7 linked regions of the Sus scrofa genome follow. The protein of the gene in region 5 interacts with the protein of the main gene of each other region in a pairwise test. Links are inferred from orthologs where the notes say so. Each region holds a gene or a part of one and is shown on either strand. Other genes may lie near its edges.

Region 1 (4,048 bases), on a different chromosome or scaffold from region 5:
TGGTCAGGGAATGTTGCATGCCTTTCCAGTGAACAAAGAATGTTACCTACCCTTTCATTTCGAAAAGGATCAAGCCATCATCGGCCACTGCTGTCTCAGACATCTTCCTCCCCCGTGGTCCACCCTGAGTGGGATTCAGGATGGAAAACAGGAAGCATTCTGTTCTCTGGATACTGGCCCTAGAGAGTTAAGATGCAGCTAAGGAATAATTTCAATGAAGCCAGCATCTTCCCATAACTAGAAAAGTACTAAAATCATTAACTTGAGATGTCTATTCTTTGTGATCAGCCATAATACTTTCATGTTCTTTTTCTTAGCATAAATCTTCCTGCATCCTGGCTTCTCCTGAAACCAGGCAAGATCCTGGGCACAAAAACTTTTTCCTGTGCATTAACTGGAAATGCACTGCAGTGGCTAACTGCAGCGTAGCCACTAAAGCAGGATTCCTGTTCCTCCTCAATAAATAAACCTAAGAGCATCGTTGAGTTCTTCTGTAGGAACTAAGGCATCCACCCAGGTGGAGTATGGTAATTTCAGGCTCAGCCCATGATTCATGGAACAGCACCCTGCTATCACCCCACCAACCAATCAGCAGAAAGCCTTCCACCCCTCAGGCCTCACCCCAAATTTCTCCTATAAAAACTCCCTGAAAACTATCTGGGAGTTCGGGTCTTTTCAGCTACAGCCATCTGCTTTCCTTGCTTGGCCCTGCAATAAACCTTTCTCTGTTCCAAACTCCAACCTTTCATTTTGGCCTCACTGTGCATAAGGCACACGGACTAACACTCCCGTACCTTTTCAGAGCGGTTTTCCTACTGAGACACTGTCTCTTGGCTACAGTCCTCAGTAACTAGCGGCTGTCCATCTTCTGTTTGAGAGCAGAATCACTGTTTTATTCACTGCTGTAACCCAAAGCTCAGCTGCAGTGTTCAGCACAAAACAGACTTGCAGTACTTATTTTCTGAATGAACCCCAAGTTACAGAGGGGGCACCACCTGAGGCTCAGGTTAAGATCACACAGGTGGTGGCGCTGGTGGTCCCTCTACTACATTTTGCTAGGAAAACTTCGGTGGCTGAGCAGCGGCTGCAGGTCGGACCTTGAGGCTGCGGTGTCCGGTTACAAAGGTCAAAGTTTGCTCTGGGCAAGCCAAGCCCAGCTTCTCAGCAGCAATTCTTGCTTTGCCTGCCCAGGGTGTCCCGCCACTGCGAAGTTAACCCGAGACCCCGCCCCATGGGCGGGGCCAGGGGCGGTGCGCGCGTCCCGGGGCGCAGCGTCTCTGGTCGCTTCGAGCTTCTGCGCCTGCGCCCGGCGCCCGGGGGCCTGGGTCAGACTCAGAAATGGCGGCCTCCATGTTCTACAGCCGGCTGTTGGCTGCCGCCACCCTTAGGAATCACCGACCCCGGACGGCACTGCAGACCGCCGCCCAGGTACTGCGGTCGAGCCGGCTCTCGCTTCGAGGGTCGGCAGGAGAAAGGGCGACGTGGGGGATTGGCACCTGTGGGCGAGGTGTGAAGGGATCCGGGGCCCGGCTCGGGGTCACCCCACCGTCAGTGACATTGGGTGACAAGAGATGCCACTCCGGGCCCACGGGAGGCTTGCCCGGGAGTGCTGCCTGCCAAGACCGCGAGCCGGCTCATGTTTGCGCCTTTCTGTCCCCGCCTTCATTCTGCGAAGAGCTGTGGCCATCTGGCCCGGGCTGCTCGTCCAGTTTCCGAGGGGGCGGAGGAGAGCCAGGATGGGTAGCTAGTGGCGAGGCGGGGGTCGAGCACTTTCTCCTGCTGCTCCCGCGACCGGCGCAGTGCGCCGAGACTTCTTCGGCCCGCCTTTGGGCTGGGAGGGGAATGCCCTTCAGATGTACTTTTGTGCCTCAGGAGCTGTCATAGATGGGAATGGCTTCACATAACCAGCAGTGCTTGCTGACTGGTCTTTTCTGGGACTCAGCCGGGAAGTTTCTCATGTCTTCCAAGTAGCTGTGTACTGTTTTGTTTAATAGTGGTAATTACCAATTGGGAAGAAAAATCTTTTAGCTTTAGGAGTGTGGGTGGGGTGTATGTGGGGTGTGTAGTGCGTGTGCGTGTGCGTGTGTGTGTGTGTGTGTGTAGTAACAGGAGCAAGGGGTTGTTTGCAGCAAAGTAAGGGTTTATTTGCAGAGTGCAAGCGAGGGAGTGGTAGACAAGTCACAGATCTATTCCAGCTTGGTCTTTGAGTTGGAGTGTTTTTAAAGGGGAAGAACAAAGAAGCTGGGATTAATCATCAGCTTCTGTAATTTCTGTGACATTTTTAAATTCTAGTTTCAGGGACTCAGATTATCTCCTGTTTCTGATTCTTTTGCCAAATGGTCCGTGGCTCCAGGGCCTATTAGCTCATCTTGACCTGGAGAAACAACCTGAGTTTGTACTTTAATGATGACATCTGCAGTATTACGTTTAGTTCATTAGTGATGTTATCAACGACAGCAATTTTAGTTACCTGACTGGTTGATTAATGTTCAGTTAGAGATTGGTGGGAACAAAAAGGGAATAAAAATTGGGGTAGACAGATTAATCATAAATTCGTTAAGGAAACTTGGTTTTAGGGGCTCAGTTTAATGTATGGAGCATATACTGTGTGCCGGGAACTGTTCCAAGCATTTTACGCGTATCTCTCATTAGGCTTTTCAGCATCACTGTAAAAAGTCATTAATCTCCACCTTGTTGATGGAGAACTTGTGGCTAAGAGAATGGTAATTTAATCCAGGTCACCACACAGGTAAGGTCAGAGTTATGGCTTAATTTCCAGAACTGGCTTCGGAGTCTGTGTGCTTGAATCTGTTCTACAGTTTTTTCTAGAGCATAAACATTGGACCATTCCTTCCAACATTGACACTAGAAAAGGGAGGGGGTTGATTGACTTCATGAATTAATTCCAGAGTTTTAGGTTGTATTCTGAGGCAACCTCAGACATACCATAAATGAATTGATTTAGACTTTTTTTTCTTTTTAAATATTTGTACTTTCAACCTAGAGATAGTGAATTCTATGAGTTTGCTTTCTGATATGTCTTTTTTTGGCCTTGAGCTTCCTTCTTATGAGTCTTAAAGGGTGCTGTCTAGCTAGGTTTTAGACTATGAGGCTTTGATGAACAAATATGTCTCCATTCTAATCATTGTTTTTATCCTCTTGGAAGTTCCTTTAAAAATCTCTGTGTCTCCATGTAGAAATGCCTAATATTTTGTCTTAAACATCTTCTCTTCTTTTCCATGCTCACATTAAATAGTACAGCTTTGGAGTTGGAAATCTCCCGTCTAGCCCCTTGCTTTTGTACCTGGGGACATAGAGGTATGGGGCCTAAGGAATCTTGTCTAGGTTTACACACTGAGTTTAGCAAATTCTCATAAACATTTTTGTTTAGTTCTCTGACCCTCTTCTAGTTTCTCTGTATCTTTCATCCAGTGTATATTTTATAAAAATAGTTCAGTTATGAGCATGTTAAATAATTTAAGGAATTTTCTTGCTCGTTGTGAATCATACTCCCTAGTAACTGCATTTTCCCACTTTTGAATAAGTATTATTTAAATTCGGTATGTGATTGGATGGGTGGCGGTGTAGGTAGGGATTTGACCAGGAATTGGTGGCCTTTTCTTCTTCTTCTTTTTATGGCTGCACCTGTGGCTTGTGGAAGTTCCTGGGCCAGGGGTCCAATGGGAGTCACAGCTGGAGCCTAAGCCACAGCCATGGCAACACCAGATTCTAGCCGAATCTGTGACCTCCACCACAGTTTGGGATTTTTAACCCACTGAACAAGGCCAGGGATCAAACCCATATCCTCACGGAGACAGCATCGTGTCCTTAACCTGCTGAGCCACAACGGGAACTCTAGTGGCCTTTTGGCAGTTAAGGATCTTCTAAGTGACAGTATCAGGAAAGAAAAATACTTAAATGTGAGAATCTTCGTGATTGTGCAGGGATTTGTATTACCAACATAATTCACAGCTGATGATATTTCAAGTTGTAACTTCTAGTGGTACAAAGAAAGGATTATCACAATACCTCAGATACTTAAAAAAAC
Region 2 (4,282 bases), about 8.2 Mb from region 5:
TCCAGCCTTTCTTCACCAGGGAAAAGTCACCCACATTCACATGTGCCCTACCTTCCCCTGTGGCAAGATGATCCGACAGGCCATGTCCCAAGTCAGGGAGAACATGACAGGCATGAAATGAGACACAAAGGGCTTGTGGCGGCCACCCTCCTCCTTGCTGAGGATGTAAACCTGTGAGAGAATGAGGGAGCAGCTGGGCTTGGCTGGAAGCACCACATCTGCCCACAGTGCCCGGCCCATCCCCACCCCGCCCGGAGCCCTCACCTGCGCTTCCACCTTCTGGTGGGTCTGGATGGAACCCGGCTTGGCCATGACCAGGCCACGCCTCAGGTCCTCCCGCTTCAAGCCTCGGACCAGGGCCCCCAGGTTGTCGCCGGCCTCCGCCCTCTCCAGGCTCTTGTGGAACATCTCAATGCCTAGGAGGGAGGAGAGACGAGGGAGGGTGTGGGGCAGAAGGAAGGAGCAAGTGGCCCACAAGGGGAGAGGGCAGCCTGGAGCCCCAGGGGCCCAGGGCCTCCTGTACCTGTCACCACAGTGCGAATATTCTTGCTATGTCCCAGGAACTCGCACTCATCTCCCTTCTTCAAAATACCACGCTCGAGCGTGCCTGTCACCACCGTGCCTCGGCCTGGGAGGGGACAGGACAGGACAGGACATCAGGGACCCTGGGCAAGCTTCTGCGAGAAGAAGGAATGTGAGCGAGCAGAGTCCTCACCAGGGATAGAGTACACAGACTCCACAGGCAGCAGGAAAGGCTTCTCCAGGTCCCGGGTGGGCACTGGGATATAAGTGTCCACAGCATCCAGCAGCTTCTGCACAGACTTCAGGCCTAACTCAGGGTCACGTTGCTACGGGCGGGAGGTAGACAGGACCCTGAAACTTCCATTCTGCTCCCCTTAACTTGCCGAGAGCCACTCCCCAGACTCAGAGCAGAGCTCGGGATGCCCGGCCTGACCCCGCCTTCACCTCAAGGGCACAGAGGGCAGAGCCCACGATGATCGGAGTCTCCTCCCCTTTGTAGCCAAACTCTGTGAGCAGTTCCCTGATCTCCAGCTCGACCAGCTCCACCATCTCAGAGTCCTGAACGGCGTCCGCCTTATTCACATACACCACCACGTGCTCCACTCCAATCTGCAGGCGGGAGAGGGAGCAACGGTGTTGTGAGTGAAGGCTCTGCCCTCTTTCCTCCTTCCACCCATACCCTGGCTCTGGGTACCTGCTTGGCCAGTAGTAAGTGTTCTCGGGTCTGGGGCATGGGGCCGTCGTTGGCTGCTACCACCAGGATGCAGCCGTCCAGCGGGGCAGTACCTGTGATCATATTCTGGGTGAGGAAAGGAGAGAAAACTGTAGTTCAGTGACTTGGGGTCCCACCTCCCCCTGCCACCTCCACTGGCCAGGCCCCCAAATCCATGATCTCAAACCCACACATCTTGGCTCTCTTAACCTCCTCCCCACAAGCCTAACATTGTTCCCGATGGGGGGGGGGGTGCGCGGGGGAGCAGTTCCAGGGCCTGCCCCCAGCAGCTCTCTCACCTTAACGTAATCTGCGTGACCGGGGCAGTCTGTGTGGGCATAGTGGCGGTTGGCAGTGCTGTACTCCACGTGGGCCGCATTGATGGTGATCCCTCGGGCTCGCTCCTCTGGGGCGTTGTCGATCTCCTCGTACTTCTTAAACTTGGCCCCGCCTCCCTCGGCTAAAACTAACGGGAGGAGAGCACACCTCTCAGCTAAGGATCTGATCTGGAGGGAGAGGCAGGGCTCAGACCACACCTCTGGGCCCCTCCCACCCAAACGGGAGACAGCCTGGGAGAAAGCAAGCTTCCAAGACCTTCGTCTTCGACTCCTGGAACGGAAATAACTTCACCTTTTAGGGCGTCAAGGGTCAGCCCTGGGACGTCTCTAAGGTAACGCTTCTGCTTTACGGGGCACTCCTCCGGGCTGGAGGGAGGCTATTCGGGGTCCCCCCATTTATGCATCACAAAGTTCTTCATTTCGACGGGAAGTCTTGTCTCCCCAGTCTTGCAATCTACCGCCCACCCAAGGTGAGGCTCCTGGGGCCCATGCTAAACACCTCCAGCAGCGTTCCGGCGGGCCCCACCTCCCCGGCGCCACGTCCCGCCTGCAGAGCGGGCGCTGCCGAATGCCCGACCCCCCCGCCCCAAATCCGCTTACTTTTCGTGATGGCTGCGGTCAGTGTGGTCTTGCCGTGGTCCACATGGCCGATGGTACCCACGTTCACATGGGGCTTGTCGCGCACATAGGTCTTCTTGGCCTCCACGGCCAGGCCGCGGCACAAGAGGGGCAGTGCCGGGGCCTTCAGCGGCCGCAACAGACCCTGCAACAGTGATGTTGGGCCAGCGCCGAGACCTGCCGGGGCAGAAGCTTGGCGTCAGGGCGCGGGTCTGAGCCTGGCCGCTCCCGACGATCCCCGTGTACTCCCGGGCCGCCATCGCCCTCCCCGCCCCCTCACCGCTGAAGAGGGGCGTCGCGCGCAGCAGGGTGGCGGCCGCCATTGTGGTCTTACGAGCGCCGGGAACAGTGGGTACGGCGCACGGACCCCGGCGCGTGCACCAAGCAAAGGGCAATTGAGGCTGGAAGCGGCTTCCGGCGGAAGTGAGGGCCGAGAGGGCAAGTTTGGGCACTTCTAGCCCCGAGTCTCTATGACCCTCCCTGTCAACTTCCGGGCTCGGGACCGAAGACGTCCAGGAAGACGCTGGTGCCTCTGGGGTGGGGAAGGATGAAGAAAGTTTCCCAGACGCCCCTGGCCTTCGCGGGTTCAGGGGCCACGCAGTTCTCTCTGGTGGCGCCGGGGGGCGATGAGCGCCGCAAAGCACACCTGCGCCCCGGAGGCTCATGGGAGTTGTAGTTCCCAGGGCGACAGGCTGTGCGGGCACTTAGCGTGAGAGTTAGGGAGACCGAGGCTGGGTACGTAAGGACGGTCTCGACCCTCTTTGAGGCAGAGGCGGCGGCCCGGATGTGGCTGACCCAGGAACGTCCTGGCCCCGAACCCCGTGGAGTCCCACCCACTGCGCGTGTCTGGCGACTCATCTGGTGGCCAGATCTCGCAGCTGGAGGTAGGACCAGGCCCTGCAACTCTGAGGGGGAAGACGATCCTGGGAGTCTTTCGGGGTTGGGGCTCTAGTGTGATCCTTCTCTCCGCTGACTCTTTGTTTTCTCATCTATAAAATGGAAGTAGTAGTATCTGCTTCATGGACAGATCCTGGCGTCTGGGTCTGAAAGGAAGGGAGCTAGGTAGGAGGCGGGAACGGGGTCCAGAAGGCTCCAGGTCCCACGGTCTTTGACCCTCGCTCCTGGCTCGCAGCCTGCGGAGACAGTTTGCCGTCCACCCCTGTTGCCTCTCAGCAGCCCAGGGAGTAATTCCCTTGATCGTCGTCCCCCCCAGCCACCCAGTTTTATAGATGACCAGGTAAGGGACCAGCCTCTGGTGCCTTTGAGGGCAGCCTGAGCCTGTCTTGTTCCGGCTGTGTCCCTGGCACCTACCACTGGGCGGGGCACTCAGTGAGTGCTCAATAAATGTCTGTTGACTGAATGAATGAGTGCAAGGATAGCAAATGACCTTTAACTTTCACATCCATCATCTCATCACCTTGCAAGGATAATAGCAGCTGCTTAACCTTGATTAATGTTTCTGAAACTCATCAGATCCCAAGACTCAATTTACGGTGTCTGTTTCAAATAGATTCCTTAATTCCTCCTTGGAGATTATGATTCAGTAGTGTCTGGGCACAGACAAGAAAGCTATATTTATTCATAATACATATATACACCCTTCTTAGGCTTAGGGGAGGTTGGAAAATTCAGATCTAGAGCTTTTTTATGGATCAGGCACTGTGAAAATGCTTCATATTGGTTCACATTCAAAGTGCCAAATGTTATTCTGTGGGAATATTATTTCCTCTGTTTTACCAGTGAGAAAACTGGCATCAGGATGATTGAGGAACCCAGCCGAACTAAACTCCAAGAAAGTGTGCACTTAGCCAATGTACTATTCTGTAATTTAACTGTCATTTTTACAATGAGAAACATGCCAAGATGTTTGTCCTCCTGTCCTTCCAAACCCATCAGCTCTCCTTAAGAAGGGCTGGTACAGTATTAAAAGGGTTCCCAGCCCGTACCTCAGTCACTATGCTCCTGGGAATTTATCCTAAGACACTGTTGGCCACTACCAGGATGTGAGATTTTTAGGAATGGTACTTGAACTAATGCTTTCTATTCTAGTGCTATGTTGTTGTTGTTTTTAATTTTAATATTGTGTTTTTAG
Region 3 (4,143 bases), on a different chromosome or scaffold from region 5:
CTGACAAAGGCCCGCATGCTCTTGATTCCACGGGGCACCCCTGCCGCCATGCGGGGCTCCTCTAAGCTCGTGGGGGTGCCGACCCCTCTCCTCCCATCCTTCCTCTGCCCCCACCCCCAGTGAGAAAAAACGCAAGCCTGCGTGGACCGACCGCATCCTTTGGAGGTTGAAGCGGCAGCCCCAGGCCGACTGCCACCCCCCCACACTGCCAGGGCCCCACTTCTCCCTGGTTCTGAGGAGCTACGTCAGCCACATGATGTACAGCATCAGTGACCACAAGCCTGTCACCGGCACCTTTGACTTGGAGGTAAACGGCCCAGCCGCCTGGCAGCACCTGGCAGAGGAGCAGCCACCCTGGGCCATGTCCCCAAACCCTCCCGCCCTGGTTGCAGTGTCAGCAGATCCCCCAGGGGAGACCTGTGGGAGGACACGATTGCCCTGCCTCCCAGCTCAGGTGTCCCGGCTCTTCTTGTTGATGGCTCTGTCTGTCAAAAACCTGTTGAAACCCTTTGTCAATAGGTTTCCATTTCCTCTTGGTTCTGTCCCTTGGGGCTCCTGAGGTCCATTATGCTTATTACCTACTGGGTGAGGTAGGACTTCCTTTCATTTGTCCTAAACCCATCTGGCTCAGGTTGCGAAGGGAGCCCCTCTGTCCTTGTGCTTGTAATGGCCATCTGATGGCCAGGGTGCTGCTGCTGACCTCCTTTGAGCTGTGGCTGCCCTCAGCCTTCACCTGTCCATGCTATTTGTCCATCTTTATCCCATCATGACTCCCTGTGCCTGTAGCTGTGCTCACCAGAGGCCCCCAAATTGGGTTTGCACCTTTTGGGTCGGAAACCCTGGAGGCCTGAGAGCAGCGTCTTTCTCACCTGTCAGCAACCCCCCACCCTCCCCAGACCTCGCCACCCCCACGCTCACCCCTCAGCACTTGGCTGTCTGTTCGGTTACCCATCTGGCCCCAGTCCCATCCTCCCTGGCAGGGCCAGCTGTCTGTCCGACAAGCCTTTGGCCCTTTCTTTCCAGCTGGCCAGCCAAGGTCTGATGCCCTCAGGGCAGCTTTGCGGAGATCTCTGCCCGCACCCTGGGTGCCCCTCCTCCCCGCACTGACCCTGACCTATTGGGAGGCCCCAGCATGGACTGTTTCTCTCTGAGAAGGGAATGATGCTGTGGGATTTCACCCCCCTTCCCCTGTGTGTAGCTGAAGCCGCTGGTATCTGCTCCGCTGATCACCCTGCTCCCCGAGGGCCCGTGTACCACCGAGAGCGACCTGCTCATCAGCTACTCCCTGGCCTCGGACTTCCTCAGCAGCCCCTGGGACTGGATCGGACTGTACAAGGTGATGCTGTGGGCGGGGCAGGGAGCGTGTCGGCCACGCCCCCACCCCGGCCCCCACCCCGGGGTCTAAGAGCTCGTGGGGGCGGGGCAGGGCACAGAGACTAAGGAGCTCCCTCTTCCACCCCAGGGGTGCCTGCCCACCGAGGAGGCAGAGGATCAGCCCCAGAAATGAGACCACCCTCTCCCTAGGATATGACGTGGGGCCTGGGTCCTCCCAGACCACTGACCCCCTGATCCCCCTCCCACAGGTGGGGCTGCGCCACATTAATGACTATGTGTCATATGTCTGGGTCGGGGACAACCAGGTCTCCTTCGGCGACCAGCTGAACCAGGTACCTGCCCCCTCTCCTGAGCTAGGTGTTCCGCGCCTCCAGCAGGTAGGCTTGCCTGAGGGCTGCTGTCTTCTGGAAGGAACAGAGCCAGTTTCCCTTGTCACTGAGAGCTGGGCCTGGGGCTGTGGGCCTGACCCCCTTCCTGTCTGTCCCCGCCCCCACAGGTATACATCAGCCTCAGCGACATCCCTGAGACTGAGGATGGGTTTCTCCTCTTTTACTATAGCAACAGCCTGCGTTCTGTGGTGGGGATAAGCAGACCCTTCAAGGTAAGGGACGCTGGTGAGTGAGAGAGGGGCGGCACTGAAGACTTGAGCCCATCGTCGTCCCCCAGGCCCCCGGCCGAGGAGCCCTCCCCCACGCATCCTTTGGGGAATGGGGCCCCTGGAAGGCCCAGAGCAAAAGCCTGCGGTGGCCCCTTGCGCTCCCCGCCTGTTTTATTCCTGCAGATCCAGCCTCGCTCCTTCCTGGAGCAGGACTCACTGGATGAAGCCCAACCACAGATCTGAGCCAGGATGCGAGTGAACCCGGGCGGAGGCCGGCGCTGGCTGCCAGCTCTGCCTTCACTGCCAGGAGCACTGGGGGCCCAGCCCTGCCCCCTGAGGAGGCTGCAAGTCTCCTCCACCTCCCAGGGCGAGTTCTAGCCACACTCCCTCCCTCTCCGCAGTCCAGATCTCCAGGATCAGCCCCTTCAATACAGGTTTCTGTGGCTCAGGTGTGAGTGAAACCAGCTAGTTTGTCAGCAGTGAAGCTCTAGACAGTCCGCTGGAGGAAGGACCCTCCAGCTTGCATCTCATTTCTCCATCTTCCCCACACACACACTTGTAGTCCTGCCCAAGCAGGCCTGCCGGGCACATGCCCCATCTGGCACAGGCCCGCATTCTTGTCACGCCACCCTGGGCCTTAGGCTGCCTGGGAGGGGGAGATGCTCACGTTTGTGTAGACTGCGTAGACTGGTTGGCGAAGGCAGCATTGGGTTCTAGGAGTCTTGGTATCTCATTGCCTGTCCCCCTGAGGGGTGGGCAGAGGGTCTGGGGTCCCTGCTTTCTGCAGAAGCAAATGACTAAGTAGGCAGGATGGAGGGGGGCCTCCACCCAGGCTCTTACGTAGGGCTTGTGGGCAGGCTGATGGTGTCCTTCCGCCAGCACCTCCATCCTCACCCCTAGAGTCTGACCCAGAAAGTTCCAGGGTGTGAGCAGAGAATAGGACCCTGGTTCACTTCTGCTAGTGGATCAGCCTCCGTGCCCCCAACCGGCCCTCCCGTGAAGTGTTGGCAGGTGGTAGAGGAGCTGTGGCCACAGACTTTCACAGGGTGGGCCTTGCGCAGTCCAGCTCATCTGCCCCTACCTTTACCTGCTGTCACCGGCCAGAACCCTGCTCTCTCTTTAGAGCGCTGTGGGACCTCGGAGTGAGGGCAGGTGGAGAGGAGAGCCAGAATCCAGCCGTTGTGGAGAATCTGGCCCCGGGGGTCTTCCGAGAGCATTCTCCAGGTGCTGCATGGGCCTGGCCTGTCCCCACTCCCACCATTTGCCTTCAGCCTCTGGTGACTCAACGGCCCTTCTCCCTGGAGGAGACACCTCAGGGAGCCTGCTCTGTGACTGTCACTCCCATCCTACCACCTGCAACCGAGGGACACTCCTGCATTCTTACTCCACCCTGGGAGCCATCAAGAACTGTCCCTCTCGGAGTTCCTGCTGTGGTGCAGTGCGATCAGCGGTGTCTCTGGAGCGCTGGGATGCAGGTTCGATCCCTGGCCCAGTGCAGTGGGTTAAGGATCCAGCAGCACTGCTGTAGCATAGGTAGCAACTGTGCCTCGGATCTGATCCCTGGCCGGGGAACTCCATATGCCATTAGGGGCGGGGGGGGGGGCAAAAAAAAAAAGAACTGTCCCTCTGGCTTCTAGCAGGCCATGGCCAATCTGTGTTCTGTGGCTGTTGCGTTGGTGGATAATTAGAAACATGGCTTTTACAAATGCACGTGACTCCGTCATGATGGTGCTGGGAGCGGGCACACGGTAATGGGCCCTGGCTGGACCCCAGGACGAGGGACCTGTCGTCCAGGCTAGACTGTGTCTGAGAGTGACACATGTTGCCCAGGTGGGAATGGGCTGAGGTTCTGGGATGGTGGCCCTCTGGGTCCCTGGCCCAGGTGGGGCGTGTCACCTACGCTGTTGGGTACTTGGTTTACTCTGCTGTTGAGTAGGTAGGATGGGTTTCCTGGGACTGAGCTCTCAGCAAGGTGCTCACTCTGCTCTCGCGGTTCCTCGCTCCCCAGCTGGCACTCCCTCCCTCCTTAGTCTGAAGCCCTGGCCCAGGGTTAAGGTCTCCAAACACCTCACCATCTCTTCTCTCTGCCCCTCCTCTCCCCAGATCCCTCTGCCCCGGTGTCCCCATGGTAACTTCTGTCCCTGCCCCCGGCACACACGCACACCCAAGGAACCCTGAGCCCTCGAACTTGCCCACTTCTCACAGGCACA
Region 4 (4,215 bases), on a different chromosome or scaffold from region 5:
CCCTATTGCCTTCATCATAAAGTCAAAGATCCTTTGCTTTAAATAGAAGGATCCTCTTCTGCCCATCCCCAGCCAGCCTACCTCTCTAAGTACTTCCATTACACAACCTGAATTGATGACAATTTCCTAAAATATCATGCTGTTTCTTAGCTGGATGCCTTTGCATATGCTATTCCTTCTGCAAGAAATTACCTTTCCCCATTTCTACTCCTGGTTGTCTTTTACATCTTTTCATGTGTGTCAAACTCACATAGTTCCTCCTCCAGGAAGCCTTCCCTAACTCCTCCAAGTATTCATGTCCTCTGCACTGCTTTGAACATTCATTTATTTTGTATTTGTCACATTATCATAGTTTTATTCACTTATCTCCCTTTCTAGAATGTTAACTCCTTGAGGGCAGGGACTCTTACTGAACTCTAGGTCTTTAGTATTTAGCACGGTGCCTGACACATGAGTAGTTGCTTAGGAGATATCAGTTAAATTGAATTAAATAACTTAATTGTGAAATTATAGGACCTTGTACTCCGTTGAAAGAATTTCAGGCATAAATGACATGGGAATTTTTTTTTTTTTTTTTTGAGCAGAAGAGTGCTGGTGCAAAGAGGAGAAAGGATGACCTAAAATTAGCACTATTGATATGGGCGCTACTCCCTTTAAATGGGCTATGTGTAAATTTGTCATATAAATACTAGTATTTCTATAGATATTCTCATGAAGACACATATTCTATCTCCATTACGGGCTGCAAGCAAGCAACCTCAGAGTGCCAAGTGTGGAGTTTTGCAGAATAGAAATAGAAGGTATTGAAAGAAATGCCCTTGGTTTGCTGAGAACACTTGAAATTAGCTTTTATGTGGCAACAAGTGGAGGATAAAGATATGCCCAAATTTTCCTAAGAAGTGAGAATGAGAAATCGTCTTTTTTGACCTCATGCTCACTGCTTTTTTGGCACCATAAATAGGGCTCAATTGCGTGTGAAATGAATTGAAACTATCAGTAGCACAAGTGGCTGGGCTGCGTTCTAGGTTCTTAATACTATTGTCGGAACCCCACCCTCCGGAGACCACCCTTCTACTTTCGTGCAAAACCGGTACTTATTCAGGTCACGGGGCTTCGGCCTATCACTGCAGAATCCAAGCTTGCGGGGCAGTGCCCACTGCAGATTGACGCATGGTGTAAGACAATTTCTTGGGCTGAGGAGCAGCGATTGGCGGATCTCGCCTATAGTGCTTCCCAGGACACTAGGGGTGTGCGTATTGGAAATGCAGGTTCCGGGGCGGCCAGTAACACCGCCCGGAAGTCTGAATGAGGCCTCCTCCGACAGCACTTCCAAACGACCTCATGGCCGCTATTCAGAGTGCCCGGCCCCGGGCAGCGGCAGCGTGCGCGTGCGTGCGTGCGTGCGTGGGCGCGCGTACGCGGTGCCGCCGTCAGTAGGTTGGCTGGTTATTTTGCAAGCGGGAGGGGCCGTGCGCGCTCCTGCCTCCGGCTTCTGTCCCCCACCCCCCCTTCCCCGGTCCCGGTTTCTCCTTCGGAAAGATGTCGGACACGGCAGTAGCTGACACTCGGCGCCTTAACTCGAAGCCGCAGGACCTGACCGACGCTTACGGGCCGCCAAGTAACTTCCTGGAGATCGACATCTTTAATCCACAGACGGTGGGCGTGGGCCGGGCGCGCTTCACCACCTATGAGGTTCGCATGCGGGTGAGTCACGGGGTGAGGGAGACAGCTGAGGGAGGACCGGGCGGCTGGGCGGGGAGGAGGCTGCCATAGGGACGGCTAATGGTGGAGAAGGCACTTGAGGGGTCATTTGGGGGTTGGGGTGTTACAGGTTTGCAGAGAGGTCTGCACATTCGGTTGTGGCCCGAGGATACAGAAAACTCCTGAGGGGGACATCAGACTGGCTTGAGGGAAAGCAAGTAGCCATGAGCAAGAAATGAAGCATGACTGAAGGCGGTAGGGAGGATGGAGAGGATTAGAGTGATATATTCAAGGAAATAGGGATCAGAACTGTAGCAACACAAGGGGTTAAGGAAGAGTGGAAAAGAGCTGGTGATGGCAAGCCAAGGCGGGGGTCCCATTACTAAACTAGGTTGTGGGAAGTCAACCTGAAGAGGGGGAACCGGAAGGCCTGGCTTCCTCCTAATGAGGTCTCCCTGGATGATGGCGTTAAGCAGAGCCTGGATTAAAGGGAAGAGAGACACCAGGAAAGGAAGACAGTGGGCTTGGTGGAGAGACTCTTCTAGGAGAGTCCCCTTGGACTGAGTGCTTCCCAGACTTGCGTAGAATTAACATCTGAAGGAGAGAAGTGTTTTATGCTTAAGTTTTCTCAGGTACTACATGCTCACTGGAAAACCTGACCTTGCACTCAGATTGGTGGCTTGTTAGTTGCTGCCCTCATCCTGTGCTGACCCTTTAGATTTGAAGTATCCAGAATGTTTATTTCAATATTTACTGGCTCTCATTTGGGTTTTCTGTATATAAATGGCCGTTTGCCCTTTCTGCTCTAGGTTAACCTTTTGGATTCATTATATTAATCCCTGGTCTGTATTTAACTTTAACATCTGACATTTCAAGACTGCCCCAGGAATGGCTTCTTCCAGTGTGCACTACAGAGGACTTTATTCTCTAGTTCTTAGTCCACAACGCTAGGGTGGAATGTGCAGAGTACATGGTTTGCAGGTTCTTTGGCCCCATTGAAGTGGTTACAGGCAAAAAGTTTGAGAGCCGTTTTCTAATTTTCCTTATGTTTTCTTCTCAGACTAGAGGGCCAGAATATTCTCTATGGACAGCATGCTGCTCAAACAGCATTTGAAGACCTAAAAGAGTGTATGTGCTTTCATTTTTGATTGAATGAATTGAATGAGAGAGTGTGCTCTCCCATCTGGGTTTTTGAAATCAAATTGAGAAATGATCATCTCCAAATTCAAGTTTGGAGAAGTCCAAACTGAAGAAACGCTGATAGCAAAAAATGAGAAAAACTTCTCTATATCAGGACTGTTCGAAATCATCTCTCTGGGGAAGAATGGGAGGTAGATCCCTCAAAATATGATAAAAGCTGGGAATTGTTAGTGGTAGAGAACCTAATTACCTGAGGAAGCCTGGGCGTAACTTGTTCATTTTAAGAACTCTGCTGTAGGGTTTTGAAGACATTGTCTTGATGTATAACCCAAGAACCATAGGGATTATGAACGGAATTGTTCTCTTCTTCAGACTAGTAATAACTGCAGGGACTGTTCATCTGGTGCCTACTGTGAGCCAGGCACTGAATTACGTTTTAGTTTTTTTTTTTTTTTTTCTATCTTTTTAGGGCTGCACCCGAGGCATATGGAGGTTCCCAGGCTTGGGGTCTAATCGGAGCTGTTGCTGCTGGCCTGTGCCACAGCCATAGCCACGCCAGATCCAAACCGCGTCTGTGACCTACACCACAGCTCACAGCAACGCTGGATCCTTAACTCATTTAGCAAGGCCGGGGAATCTGTGTCCTCATGGATGCTAGTTAGATTTGTTTCCACTGAGGCACGATGGAAACTCCAAGTTTTAGTTTTCAAATTCTTACAAAAACACCCTTTTTACAGATAGGAAGCTCAGGAAGAATGCAGTTTAACTTGCCCAAGTACACATAACTAATAAGTGGCAGGGCTGGGATTTGAATGCAGGTTGATCTGATCCAAAGCCCATCATACTCTTTCCACTACACTTTAGTCTCTTTGGCAATGCTTAGTTGCAAAACTTTAGTGTACAAATTTTTTTCTACCCACTAAGCTTTTCATCAGTCCTTTCCACAATTACAAATTGTATAGCGATGATAGGGTTGATTGCAGTTCCTAATTCTGTGGGTTTGAGTTAATTTGTATTTATGTTAATTTGTATGGCTATATAGGCTTTTAATATTTAATATTTTATTCTATTTTAATATTTTATCAAAAAAGAGGAAAGTTGGTAAAATCATCCAGTTTTAAATTGGTAGGCACTATAGGGAGCCTGAGACTCAGAGAATGGGCTTTGAGAGTTAGGCATTGTGTATGGTAGAAGAAAATGGTACTGACATTTTTTCTTTGTATAATAGCTCAGGGAAGGACCCCCCCCCCCCAAAGAAATAAAGAGTCTGGAGAGATGTCCTAGTGACTTCGCATGATATATATGGAGCTTTTCAATTGTCGGTTTTGGGAGTTCTCTTCTGGCTCAGCAGGTTAAGGATCTGGCATTGTCGCT
Region 5 (4,273 bases):
CATGTAAAAGAGCTCTTATAAATCACTATGGTTTTTTTGGCTTTTCAGGACCACAGTCATGGCATACGGAGGTTCCCAGGCTAGGGGTCGAATCAGAGCTGCAGCCACTGGCCTAGGCCACAGCCACAGCAATGTGGAATCCGAGCTGCATCTGTGACCTATACCACAGCTCACAGCAACACTGGATCCAAAACCCACTGAATGAGGCCAGGGATCGAACCAGCGTCCACATGGATACTAGTTGGACTCATTACCACTGAGCCACAATGGGAACTTCCACAAATCACTATCTTAAACAAGTTAGTCTTTAAAAAAAACTCTGCAGTTTTGATACCAAAGCCAGAAATTACGGGGGAAAAATTATCACTTAATGGTCACCTTCCAACTCTAAGCACTGGGCTATTCTTTATGTACATAATAACCCGTATAGAACCTCATAAAATAAGGATAATTAGATCCATTTTACAGTAAAAAGAAAGTGAGCTCAGAACGGTTGCTTTCCAAATTCTCTTGTGGTGCATCGAGTTAAGGCATTGTCACTGCAGTGGCTTTGGTTGCTGCTGTCGTGTGGGTTCAATCCTTGGCCTGGCCCGGGAACTTCCATACACAGGAGGGCACAGCCAAAAAAAAAAAAAAAAAGTTGCTTTCCCAAAGTCATGTCCTACTAAGTGGCAGCTTTCTGAAAATGAAATTACATCACTTTAAGTTTGCTCATTTCAGGTGGTTACAACTAATTTGTTGTTTCATTTCACTGACTTAACCCCCTACTTCTGAATCCATTAGGAAAGCCTCTTCCTGAAGAGCGGTTTCCAAAACAGCTCTCTGTATAATGGAATCATTTAGATGTTGGCATCATCTGCACAATTAGGAAAACTACGGGTGCTTTCACCAAATTATATGAGGCACAGTAAGCCCAATTTACCTCAATAAAATGCTTCTGACACTTAGCAGACATTGTGGTTAGACTTTAAATTTCTCTGCAAATCTGACAATCACCTGCAAGGAAACTTCTAGGATGAAGCCAATGTGACAAAAAGCCTTTAAACTGATTCTGGTAGAGGAAAAAAAAAAAAATTGGAAGAAACCCATGTATCCTTATGACTGTTATTATAGGGAGACAGGCAAATGATAGGAGACAGTGCCGCTTAACCTTGTTGAAGATGACATCTGTGGAGTTCCTGTCGTGGCTCAGCAGAAACGAATCTGACTAGTATCCGTGAGGACGCAGGTTTGATCCCTGGCCTTGCTCAGTGGGTTTAGGATCCAACACTGCTAAGAGCTGTGGTGTAGGTTGCAGACTTGGCTTGGATCTGATGTTGCTGTGGCTGTGGTGTAGCCTAGCCTGGGAACCTCCATAGGCCATGGGGGCAGCCCTAAAAAGAAAAAAAAAAAAAAAAAAAAATGCTGTGCCACACTGATCACTTAGGTGGAACCTCAATATTTCTGACTTTATATACTATGTTTAATAAGTTAAAAAAGATTATCATGTGCCAGAAACTCTGCTAAATGTTTTCTGTGTTTATATTTTAATCATTTCTCGTAACAAACTGAAAGGAAGATGTTATTATTTTCATTTTATAGATAAGGACACTGAGATACACAGAGGTTAACAGATCTGAATCTGGCAAATCCAAGGCCAAAGGCCTGTCCTTAAAGCCACACTGCTCTGCAGAGAGAGCAGCAGAGCAGAGCCCATATCGGTTGTCTCAACAGCTGTGTAAACTTGGGCAACTTCTTTGTGCTACAATCAATTCTTAAAACGAAGCTGGCTGGGGCTAACTAGGCTTACCACAGAGAAGAGGTTTTTGCTGTGTGTGTGTCATGGGGCAGAGGTCATACGTTTCTAAAAATCAATGCAAAACGAAAATCATGCACAATCAAAACTGCCCTGCAAAGTCACTTAATTCATTAGCACTCTCCCTGGGGAAAATGCAACGTAGAAAATGGACTGATCCTTCCTTCCCTTTTGCCTAGATCCTGCGTGATTCTCAGTGAGGTTAAAATTGTCTGCCTGTGATAGAACCTCACTGCATTTCCTTTAGACCCCTGCTTACTCGAAAGTCCTCCCGTGACCCTCCCCCTTCCCCAAAGGTTTATCAGTTACAGACTAACGCCGAGACCTCCCATAGTCCTTCCGGCTGGACTCTTACTTTCGGTTCCCAGCGGTGAGTTTGCAGCCTCGCTGCCGTGTTAAGCTGTGCCAGCTCTAACAAATTATCGGCAGCAACCCTTTGACCCTCAACCCCTGACCAAATACTGGGGAAAAGGGCGAAAGGATGTCCTGCTTAAGATGAAAGAGGGAAAACCCGGATACCGCTGGGGCCTGGGCCCCCCGAAGCACTCGACAGGGCACTCGCGGCCCTCAGCCAGTGACTGCACCCCAGGCGGGTCCCAGCCCCTCTTCTCTCGCTTCCTCCTCAACCTCTATTCGCGGTGAATGATCACGCGCCCTCGCTCCGTCGCGAACCGTCCCCAAGGGATGTTAGGCGTGGACACGACTAGTGACCGCCAAGCAAGGCTCACCCACGACATCCAAAGGGCAGGAGTCGTCGCCTGCACCTGGGCACCGGGAGAGGAGGCCGGGCCCGCGGCAGGTGATAGGAACGAAGCCGCAGCGCCGTCCCATGGAGCCTAATATCCAGAAACCCAGCGCATTTCCCTCACGACGAAGCCGCCAGGACTCACCAGCAGATTGGTGCTGCGATTATCTCCCTCTGCCATCGTCCCTGAGGTGTCGTCTCTAGGAGCGAAAGACGCCACAAAACCAAGAGCTCTCTCGAACCCCTTAAGGCTACCCTGGCATCAGGGTACGCCCCGCAAGCCGCTTATATAGGCTGGATGCCTTTCCCGACAGACCCCGCGAAGCTCGCTCCTCATTGGGCAAATCAAGATGAAGCTGAAGCCGGGGCGGCCAACCGCTGTCCAGCGCATGTCTTGAAACCGAGGTCAAAGGAGAGTGAGAACGCCGGGGCCGAGGAGGCGGGGACACTGAATGACCAATCAGCGCCCAGGAGGTGTGCGACGCCCCGCCCAGGCCTTTCAGAAGCGGTTGAACGGCCGCTGCCCGGGGCCTGGTGTGGCCTCAGTATCCCCGGGGCCTGTGGGAACCGTAGCTCTCGGACGCTCTTTCAGGGGGACCTCAAAGCAGCCAAGGAGACTCTCCGGAATTAGTCCTCGAGGAAATATGCCACCCAGTATCAGGCGGAAGGCAGAGGTGGTCATGTGACGCTAACTTCATTGTGATTAAGGGGGCCGGCTGGGATCCTCTTAACAGAAGCAGCCTGTGGCCCTCGCCCCAGCTGTTCCCCGTCGGCCCCGCCTTCTGATCCCTGCTCCCGCAGCCTTGAGCAGTTTAGCCTGGATTTATGACTCGTGCCCATCTCGTGAGGTTTCGCGGACAAATGAATAGGGCTATTTATGTAGATTTTTTTTCCGCAATGTTACTCCCCTTTAAGGCCTTAGTTTGATGGGGGTAGGAGAAAATCTTGGCGTAGTTCGACAACTTGTGAAAAATGCATTGACTTAAAAAAATCGGCTTGTTTATATAGGGTGTTTGGGGAAATTCTTTGTGGGGTAAACTACGAACTCCCTCTCCAAAAAGGGACTTGTTTTGACAGATCTTTTTACATTAGAGGTCATGCTAAGGAAAGATGTCAACTCTCTCATAAGGGTGGAATGAATTGGAATTTAAGAAGCAGATGAATGCCAGGGGAGCGGCCAAACAAAAACAAAAACTAGATGAGCTGTGTTGAGAAATCTTTTCTCTCCAGGACTTCACAAAAATGTATTTAAAAAATGCTTTCATTTTCATTGCTCGAAATATGCTAAATGTTGACCTGGTCAGATGTCTTTTTGAGGAAAACTTAGCATAGCTTTTAACTTTTTATAGTCTTCTATATTATGCCATCGTTTGTTTTTGGGTTTTTTTGGTATCTCATGTGGCATTTTTTTATTATACTATTAACCAATTGTGTTTTTTTTTTCCCCGCTGTACAGCATGGGGACCAAGTTACACTTACATGTATACATTTTTTTCCACCCTTTGTTCTGTTGTGATATAAGAATGTAAGTTTCTTTTTTTACTGTGAAAAAAAATAAAGCATCTGATCAGGTATAAACACTTGGAGGGAGATTAAAAAAAAAAAAAAAGCCTCTGCAAGGGAAGGGGACTGACTCTTCAGTAAAGTTCCACTTAGGGAAATGTTGGGGAGAAAAACAGGTTATGCAGGTAAAATGCAGCCAGTTGATATATCCCATTTGGGGAGATTTTAGT
Region 6 (2,955 bases), on a different chromosome or scaffold from region 5:
ACAGCAGCCTCCACCTCTTCTTGCAGAGCCATCTGAATTCAGAAGACATTGAGGCCTGTGTTTCTGGGCAGACGAAGTACTCTGTAGAAGAAGCAATTCACAAGTTTGCCTTGATGAACAGACGCTTCCCTGAAGAAGAGGAAGGGAAAAAAGAAAATGATATAGATTATGATTCAGAAAGGTATCTCCTTGCATGTTGATTCACTGTGTACGTATTTATGTGACACGGCGTGCACATATGCATGTGTGGAGATATATACACACTTCACTTTTTTGTTGATGTCATACTAAGATAATGAAAAAATTAATTGACTGAGATTTTATTGAGCTGTGACAGCTCATCATAGGAGTCTTCACACACACCTCCACACTGAATTAATGAATGCGGTAGAAATTCAATTATCTGCATTCTGATTATGTGACTTTCATTTAGTCAGACTTGAATTATTCGCGTTTAAATTATCTAGCTAAAAAAATATCCAACTGCACTCCAAATGGCTAATTAAAAGTCCAAATTTCCTGTCTCTCTTTGTGACTGGAGATAATTAAAGTTCTCCTCTGTTACTCAGCCTTTGAGTGTGTTGTGAAAACCAATTTCCTCTTTTTATTATTTTCCCCCTCTCTTCTTTTCCAGTTCATCCTCTGGGTTCGGACACAGTAGTGATGACAGCAGTTCACACGGATGTAAAATGATCACAGCTCCGCAGGAATCCTGAAAAATAATTCCAATGTTACCATTCTAGGAATAGCAAATTAGGTCCCGTCGCAGAGACGAAAGCTTGCGCATATTCTCTTCTTACCTAAAGCTCCCTGTCATGTTAAGTATTTAAATTCATAAAGATGTTGTGTTGTTTATTAGTGGTATTTTTATGTTGTCCCACTTTGGCTAAGCTTCTGTAAAAAGCTACGAGCCTGTGAATGCAGCACTCCCCTTGATAGGCGCATACTGTTGGTAAAACAAGATCCTGCCCTCAAATGAAAGGATGTATGTGTTTAAAAAAAAAAAAAAAAAAAAAAAAACTAGTTGATTTTACTGCATTTTAAAAGATAGGTAAGTAGGTAGCATTTAAAATCCAGATAGAGCCTTTCTGCTGGTTTCGCTGGGGCGGTGTTGGCCGAAACACAGCAGGTGTGACGTTAGCCACCTCGGCAGACAGCCTGCTTCTCAGACAGGCAGCTGGTATTTTGTGGGTACCTCCCCTGCCCTTGGGAAGACGCTTTGCTTTGGGGGGTCTTTAACTGAAATATTTGAAGAGTGTTTATTTAACCTTTCCAGTATTCTCTTCCATACTTAGATGGAAAATGTATCTTATGAATAGAGACATGTTAAAATAATGTTTACATCTTAGAAAAAGCCAGAAATAGTGCTAGACATTTTGCTTATATTTGCAATATGTAGACTCAGAAATGCATTTGCATTGTCCAGAATCAGCTTTCACATGTGGTTTCTGGAAACAAATAATTTGTTTTCATTATCTGTGTGTAATTAGAATTACAGGTTAACGATTTATCTTCTGACTTAATGTGCAATTTCTTATCACAAGAGAACTTTCTGTGATGGTCAGTGGTGGTTAATTGTTCCTTATCTTTAAGTTAAAAGTGGGATCTTAAAAACATTAATAAATTTTGCCAATAAATATTGCCATAATTTAGAAAAGGATAGGAACTTGCTAATTTCAGAATTAATTAATTTTTTAAAAAGCCCTTTCTTTTATGGCATCTGCCTGAGGATTGGTATAATTTGATAAAAATGTCTTTTTTTTAGTGGCCCAAAGATAAAGTGTCTTAGATAAACTACATTGAACTGCAAATTTCAGATGAGGCAGAATTTTATTGAGATAATTGTCTAAGTTTCTTCCTTGTTGAATGGTACAAAATATCCCTGAATTTAACAGGAAGATATTTTTACATAGCTGGGATAACTTGTTGCTTTAATTAAATGTTACCTCACCTCATTTTAACTAGGAATTTAAAAGTTACTGCATTATTTTAAGTCTTTGAAATGCTTTTATCTAAGAACCCACAGAAAAAAAATTAGAATACGAATGATTTCCTTAATTTTGCCTTTTGTTTTTTCTGTTTGGTCTAAAACATTATTGAACTTTGTGCAAATATTTTGATTTAATGTATCTTGGACCGTATTACTTTGCCATCTAAGACATATTAGTTTAATACAGGACAAAAAAAGATTCAGCAATTTTTTTTTTAATCTTGCTAACATGTAAGGTTTGCCACCCATTTGAGTGCAGTCCCCAGCTCCTTGGCAATATGTACTTGCATTCATGTTATTTCTGTTTTACAGCAGTTTTGAAAAGCATATTACGTGCCACCAATTGTCATATAACGTTTAGATGATGCTACCACAGCCATCAAAATTGATATTAAGTATTGCCTAATACTCTGGTATGTAAACTTCATGAGGTCATCATTTTCACATTAAAAATGAAAACATCAACTTTGGTTTGTTGCAGCTCTTATTTTATACAAGAGAATGTATTTCTTCTGCCTTAGATCTAAATTCAGTGTGTTTTTGAGTGATCTGTAATTTTTAACGAATAATTTTGGTAAAACTTGGTTAATAGTCACTATAGTTGTGTACATTTGAGGCTTTTAGCTTTGGTTTGGTTGTTTTGATATCTAAGCACTGGCTTCTTAAAACTGATTTTCTGCAGTTGAGAGATTTAAATGAACTTCAGCCCCCAGTGGCTTTCTTGCTTTGTTCAAGTCTTACTTTCCTCTGGCATATTTTTATAAAGCTTTCTTGAGAAAAAGAAAACAATTACTTGAATAACTAAATAGAATAGATGTTATTTAAGTCTTTTAAATGTAACTTAAAGAATCCTCATCTTGGATGCTTTATGATTTACATACAGCAAAACTGGCTATTTCCCTGGCTGACTCTGCAAGGGCAAGACTATTCACCTATAAAGCTAGTTTATGTGTTCTTTTTGAGAA
Region 7 (4,086 bases), on a different chromosome or scaffold from region 5:
TCTGAACTAGTTGTGGTTCCCCAAAGGACATGTTCTTTCTGCTCCTCTGCACCACTGTATTCCTTTATCACATCTTCAGATGGACTCCATGCGCTTGTTTGTTTAAACTTGTTTAACTGCCTGCCTCTTCCTCAATATGTTATAAAATCCTTGTTTTGGGGACGTTATGTCTTTGTATCTTTACCACTTAACACAGTAATTGGAACACAGGGAGGGCTAAATAAATATTTGTTAAATGATTAATTGTACAACACAGGATTCTAGTTTCTGGGCTATTTTATTCACTTCTACCTAAATTTCTTACTTACCTTGGTTTAAGAATCCAAAGTTTTCCCTCTACCATCCTTTCTCTGTACTAATATTTCCTATTTTGAATATCCTCAACACTTAGATTCAAATCTTGTGCTAATAACCTAAGTTGCATTTGCCTTTTGGTACTGCCTTGAAATTCTTTTCTAACCTTTCATCATATGCATGATCAGAATCTTCTTAAGGCAAGAAGACTTTAACCTCATCGCACAGTTACAGGCGATCAGAAGAGTCCAGACTGGCGTGTGGACCGTAAAACCCGGCGCATGCGCACCAGGCTCTTTTTTGGGGGGGCATTTCGACTTTTTTTTTTTTCCCATTTGGAGCGTGCGCACCAAGAAAGACAAAGGTGGGGAAAGTGACCAAGCAATCATTCAGGCGCATGCCCATCCCTAACTTGTTCAAGCCCGGTGGAGTGCACTGTGGTGAAGGGGGTGTGGTCTGACCTGGAGCAGCAGAAATCCAATCCGATTGAGTGAGCTCGGTCCCTCCCTCCCCATGATTGGTTAGCTCTCAGTGTTGTGGGGCGGGGAAAGGAAGAGATGGGGGCGGTGGAATGGTGGGGGGGACGGAGAAAGAGAGCCAGTCTGGTTCTGCGCAAGCGCAAGTACGCGACCAGGAGGGGGCGCGAGAGAGTGAAAAGAAGTGTGGAAGCCCTGGTGCGCTGGCGAGCGCGAGCTGGGTCGCCAGCCTTGACGCCTGCGCCGTGGCCCTCGGGGCCCGCGCGCGGCGGGCGGGTGCCCGGTGCGCCTGCGCAGTAGGCGGCGGCGGCAGGGGGAGGTGGAGGCCGTGGAGCGGCAGCGGCAGCAGCGGGTCCCGGGACTGAGGCAGCAGCGGGGGCGGCGGCGGGCGGAAGCTGAGGTGACGAAGGCAGCGGCGGCGGCGGCCGATTCCCTCACGGTGGCGGAGACCAAGGCGGCGGCGGCGGACGGGGAGCGGCCCGGCCCCGGCCCCCTGCTCGTTGGCTGTGGCAGGGCCGCCGTGGGGCCGGCCCGGCTCCCGCCCCCCGCGGCTCCCCCTCCGGCTCCTCCTCCGGGGAGACGCCGGGGACCTGGCCCGGCCCGTACTCAGAGCGCTGCTGCAGCCGCCGCCGGGGGAGTCGGAGGCGGTGGCGGCGCCATGGGCGGCCTGGCCTCGGGGGGGATGTGGAGCCGGGACTGCCCGTCGAGGTGCGCGGCTCCAACGGGGCCTTCTACAAGGTGAGGCGGCGCGCCGGCCAGGAACGCGGGTCTTCAGCCCCTTCTCTCCAGCCGGAGCGGGGAAGAGTGGGGCGGCATTGAGGTTCTGGAGCTAAGCCCCGACCCTTAGAGCCTTAGACCTGCTCCCACCCGCAGCCCTCGGGGTGGTGGGGGGGGAGACCTCTGGAACTTAAACCCCTTCGTCTTATGTTTGGCCCGTCTATTCCGCCTGCCTTCACCCGCATCTCAGGAAAGAACATCAGGGTATTAATTGTGCTTAGATCAGCGCCCCCCCCCCACCTCCCAGAAGAGACCCCATTTACCCAGCGTCTCATTGACTTTTCCTGTCTCCTAGTAGAAGACATACCTTAGATCTTCATCACGTCTTCCCCACAGTCCTAGCACATGGAGAATTCTCTTTATTCTCCCCTATTGCCCCCTTGGGAAGGCCGTCCCATATTAGATCCTTTCATCTTCCTCGGAGAGGCCTCTGCCTACTGGCTCTGAAAGACTCACCCCACTTTCATCTTATATTTCTGTTCCCAACCCAAGGAGAAACGGTCAGAATCTGTTTATGACATTTAGTATCTTTGACCTCAGGAACTCTGGGCTGTACCAGTCAAGTTGCCTCGTAGCCATAAGGTGGCATCTTTTCACAAGTCTCTCACCCCACCCCTTTATTCCAAGATTAGCTGGTCTACCGTTCTCCCTAGGGGTGGTTTTGTGTTTGTCATCTCACTTTGACCTCGGATACATTTAGATCCTTCGGATAGTTTCATCCTAAGGAGTGTGAGCTTCATAGCCCTGATCTCTAAAAGGGGCTCTCATGAGGATTCTCTGTTTATTTAAAGCATTTCTTTCCACTTCTGGAAGACTTTTAGCCAACTCACCCAATTTGGGAATCTGATAGCCTTTTTTTTTCTTTCTTTCCTTTTTTTTTTTTTTTTTTTTTTTTTTTAGGAGCAGCTGACTATCTTTAAAAGATCATTGTTTACTTATTTCAGCTCCCTCCGTTGCCTGGGATTTGGTTTTTTAGAACTCCTTTTATTATCGCCTTCTTTATCTGTTCTGAATCCATTTTTTTTTTTTTGTAGGAGGGGTTTTCCCACTTAGATTAAGCCAGAGGGAGACCCCAATTGCCTCTCAGGCATTTTTCTTTATGTGACTGATCTTACTCTTGTTATTTTGAACCTCTTTGGACTTTATGCCTGCAATTGTTCCAGAGACTTTCCTGATTCCTGTCTTAGTCTTTCTTTTACCCTGAGGAGCAAGCTCAGAGATACCTTTTTGTAACATCACTTTTGAGGAGAAGAGCCCCCCTTTCCTTCAATTTCCCCCAAGCTTTTCCTCCTATAAGAGACGTCTCCAGCTTTGTGCCCTTGGAAATGACTTTCTCCAGCTCCTTCCCTGTGAAGTCATATCTTGTTATAACTGGAAAGGGTCTCATATTTGCCCTTGGAGTAGAAAGTTTCTGCCCCAGCTTCACTTGGTAAGTTCAGTGTAGTCATCTTTTAACTGAGTCCAAATGCCTGTTTATTTCTGCCTTACTTTCCTCACCATTTTTCTTTATATTCTTCAGTGCCTTTAGTTACCCACAGTCCATCTTATCCTCTCGATTTAAGTCTTGCTTTTTTTATCCTAATATTTCTATATTCCTGTGTAATCCCAGGAACTACCTATTCCATTACTCTCTTGAAATGGGAGAAGGAAGCTCCCAGCTGATCCCTTCTGTCATTTTTTTCTACATACTTTCCTAACTCATGGGACTTTTTCTTCTAGCCTTCCTCTATTGCATTTGTTTCCCTTGGCAAAGTCTCTTAATTCCTTTCAGATTCTGATAGAGTACATTTGTCTCTTATATCCTTTTCCCCAAAACTTGTATTACCTTTGTTGAAATAATAAATTTTAGCCTTATTTCCCACAGTATCTTGTCCTGCATCTGGGTCCTTGCACCCCCAAGAAAAAGGATTCTTAAATTGAGTCTGAGATCAAGATATGATGTTTGCTTTTGTTCTAAGAAGCATAGGAGCCAAGCACAGCGGGAGAGATTGATAACCAGTTCAAATTAACTGTGTGAGACTGCTGGGAAGTCCTTTCCACATCCAAGTGTCCAAGAGAAAATCTCTACATCTTTCCCTTTTTTCCTGTGGGCTATGGCAGTGATAGTTGTGATTGAGTGAATTGGGGATAGGATGCTTTGAATCTGAGAGTAGAGTTCGGAGTTGAACTGAAAGCCATGCAATGTGGATTTTGTGTTCTGGCCACTTAGCATTTTCTGCTCCACGCTGCAGTTGAAAACAATAGATCCTTAAATTCAGACTAGGCTTTCTTCAACTTTCAGTGCCATATAGATACTTACCCAATCTGACCTTGTTACTGATTTAATATTCATGACTCAGCAAACTTCACTGTGGTTCAAGGAGTCTTCACGTTGCTTCTGGAACTATATATTTGGGAAGGTTCTTTTCATCGGTGTCAGAATTGGGTCTTGTTGTTGATCTTCTCCCAGGATAGAACTGCAAATGTCAGATTAGGGATCTGAGTTTTCTTATAGCTATCCCATCAACTCTTCCTCTTCTGTCAGAACTTAAGGTATCTT

What was found.
Region 1: the proteins of ARL6IP1 (region 5) and SUCLA2 interact in binary tests that used the Homo sapiens proteins (3 or more experiments, as listed by UniProt). The two-hybrid records come from large-scale screens. The link is inferred for Sus scrofa from reciprocal best matches to the Homo sapiens genes ARL6IP1 and SUCLA2.
Region 2: the proteins of ARL6IP1 (region 5) and TUFM interact in binary tests that used the Homo sapiens proteins (3 or more experiments, as listed by UniProt). The two-hybrid records come from large-scale screens. The link is inferred for Sus scrofa from reciprocal best matches to the Homo sapiens genes ARL6IP1 and TUFM.
Region 3: the proteins of ARL6IP1 (region 5) and INPP5K interact in binary tests that used the Homo sapiens proteins (3 or more experiments, as listed by UniProt). The link is inferred for Sus scrofa from reciprocal best matches to the Homo sapiens genes ARL6IP1 and INPP5K.
Region 4: the proteins of ARL6IP1 (region 5) and SNX12 interact in binary tests that used the Homo sapiens proteins (3 or more experiments, as listed by UniProt). The two-hybrid records come from large-scale screens. The link is inferred for Sus scrofa from reciprocal best matches to the Homo sapiens genes ARL6IP1 and SNX12.
Region 6: the proteins of ARL6IP1 (region 5) and SNX10 interact in binary tests that used the Homo sapiens proteins (3 or more experiments, as listed by UniProt). The two-hybrid records come from large-scale screens. The link is inferred for Sus scrofa from reciprocal best matches to the Homo sapiens genes ARL6IP1 and SNX10.
Region 7: the proteins of ARL6IP1 (region 5) and FXR2 interact in binary tests that used the Homo sapiens proteins (3 or more experiments, as listed by UniProt). The two-hybrid records come from large-scale screens. The link is inferred for Sus scrofa from reciprocal best matches to the Homo sapiens genes ARL6IP1 and FXR2.

The regions. Positions count from the first base shown.
Region 1 is NC_010453.5:19,615,167-19,619,214, forward strand, and holds the start of SUCLA2 (succinate--CoA ligase [ADP-forming] subunit beta, mitochondrial), read left to right. Parts: upstream 1-1,248; 5' UTR 1,249-1,338; coding exon 1,339-1,428; intron 1,429-1,851; exon of another isoform or gene 1,852-1,996; intron 1,997-4,048. UniProt on the Homo sapiens protein: ATP-specific succinyl-CoA synthetase functions in the citric acid cycle (TCA), coupling the hydrolysis of succinyl-CoA to the synthesis of ATP and thus represents the only step of substrate-level phosphorylation in the TCA.
Region 2 is NC_010445.4:18,521,906-18,526,187, forward strand, and holds the start of TUFM (elongation factor Tu, mitochondrial), read right to left. Parts: upstream 2,801-4,282; 5' UTR 2,514-2,800; coding exon 2,471-2,513; intron 2,368-2,470; coding exon 2,173-2,367; intron 1,701-2,172; coding exon 1,534-1,700; intron 1,322-1,533; coding exon 1,217-1,321; intron 1,132-1,216; coding exon 967-1,131; intron 849-966; coding exon 716-848; intron 629-715; coding exon 524-628; intron 417-523; coding exon 265-416; intron 172-264; coding exon 52-171; intron 1-51. UniProt on the Homo sapiens protein: GTP hydrolase that promotes the GTP-dependent binding of aminoacyl-tRNA to the A-site of ribosomes during protein biosynthesis. Also plays a role in the regulation of autophagy and innate immunity.
Region 3 is NC_010454.4:47,717,398-47,721,540, reverse strand, and holds the end of INPP5K (inositol polyphosphate 5-phosphatase K), read left to right. Parts: intron 1-120; coding exon 121-307; intron 308-1,198; coding exon 1,199-1,336; intron 1,337-1,583; coding exon 1,584-1,922; coding exon of another isoform or gene 1,923-1,936; intron 1,937-2,116; coding exon of another isoform or gene 2,117-2,176; 3' UTR 2,177-3,643; downstream 3,644-4,143. UniProt on the Homo sapiens protein: Inositol 5-phosphatase which acts on inositol 1,4,5-trisphosphate, inositol 1,3,4,5-tetrakisphosphate, phosphatidylinositol 4,5-bisphosphate and phosphatidylinositol 3,4,5-trisphosphate.
Region 4 is NC_010461.5:57,105,837-57,110,051, reverse strand, and holds the start of SNX12 (sorting nexin-12), read left to right. Parts: upstream 1-1,415; 5' UTR 1,416-1,539; coding exon 1,540-1,704; intron 1,705-4,215. UniProt on the Homo sapiens protein: May be involved in several stages of intracellular trafficking.
Region 5 is NC_010445.4:26,759,172-26,763,444, reverse strand, and holds the start of ARL6IP1 (ADP-ribosylation factor-like protein 6-interacting protein 1), read right to left. Parts: upstream 2,801-4,273; 5' UTR 2,722-2,800; coding exon 2,686-2,721; intron 1-2,685. UniProt on the Homo sapiens protein: Positively regulates SLC1A1/EAAC1-mediated glutamate transport by increasing its affinity for glutamate in a PKC activity-dependent manner.
Region 6 is NC_010460.4:46,064,075-46,067,029, reverse strand, and holds the end of SNX10 (sorting nexin-10), read left to right. Parts: coding exon 1-181; intron 182-634; coding exon 635-716; 3' UTR 717-2,455; downstream 2,456-2,955. UniProt on the Homo sapiens protein: Probable phosphoinositide-binding protein involved in protein sorting and membrane trafficking in endosomes. Plays a role in cilium biogenesis through regulation of the transport and the localization of proteins to the cilium.
Region 7 is NC_010454.4:52,900,458-52,904,543, reverse strand, and holds the start of FXR2 (fragile X mental retardation syndrome-related protein 2), read left to right. Parts: upstream 1-1,286; 5' UTR 1,287-1,508; intron 1,509-4,086. UniProt on the Homo sapiens protein: mRNA-binding protein that acts as a regulator of mRNAs translation and/or stability, and which is required for adult hippocampal neurogenesis. Specifically binds to AU-rich elements (AREs) in the 3'-UTR of target mRNAs.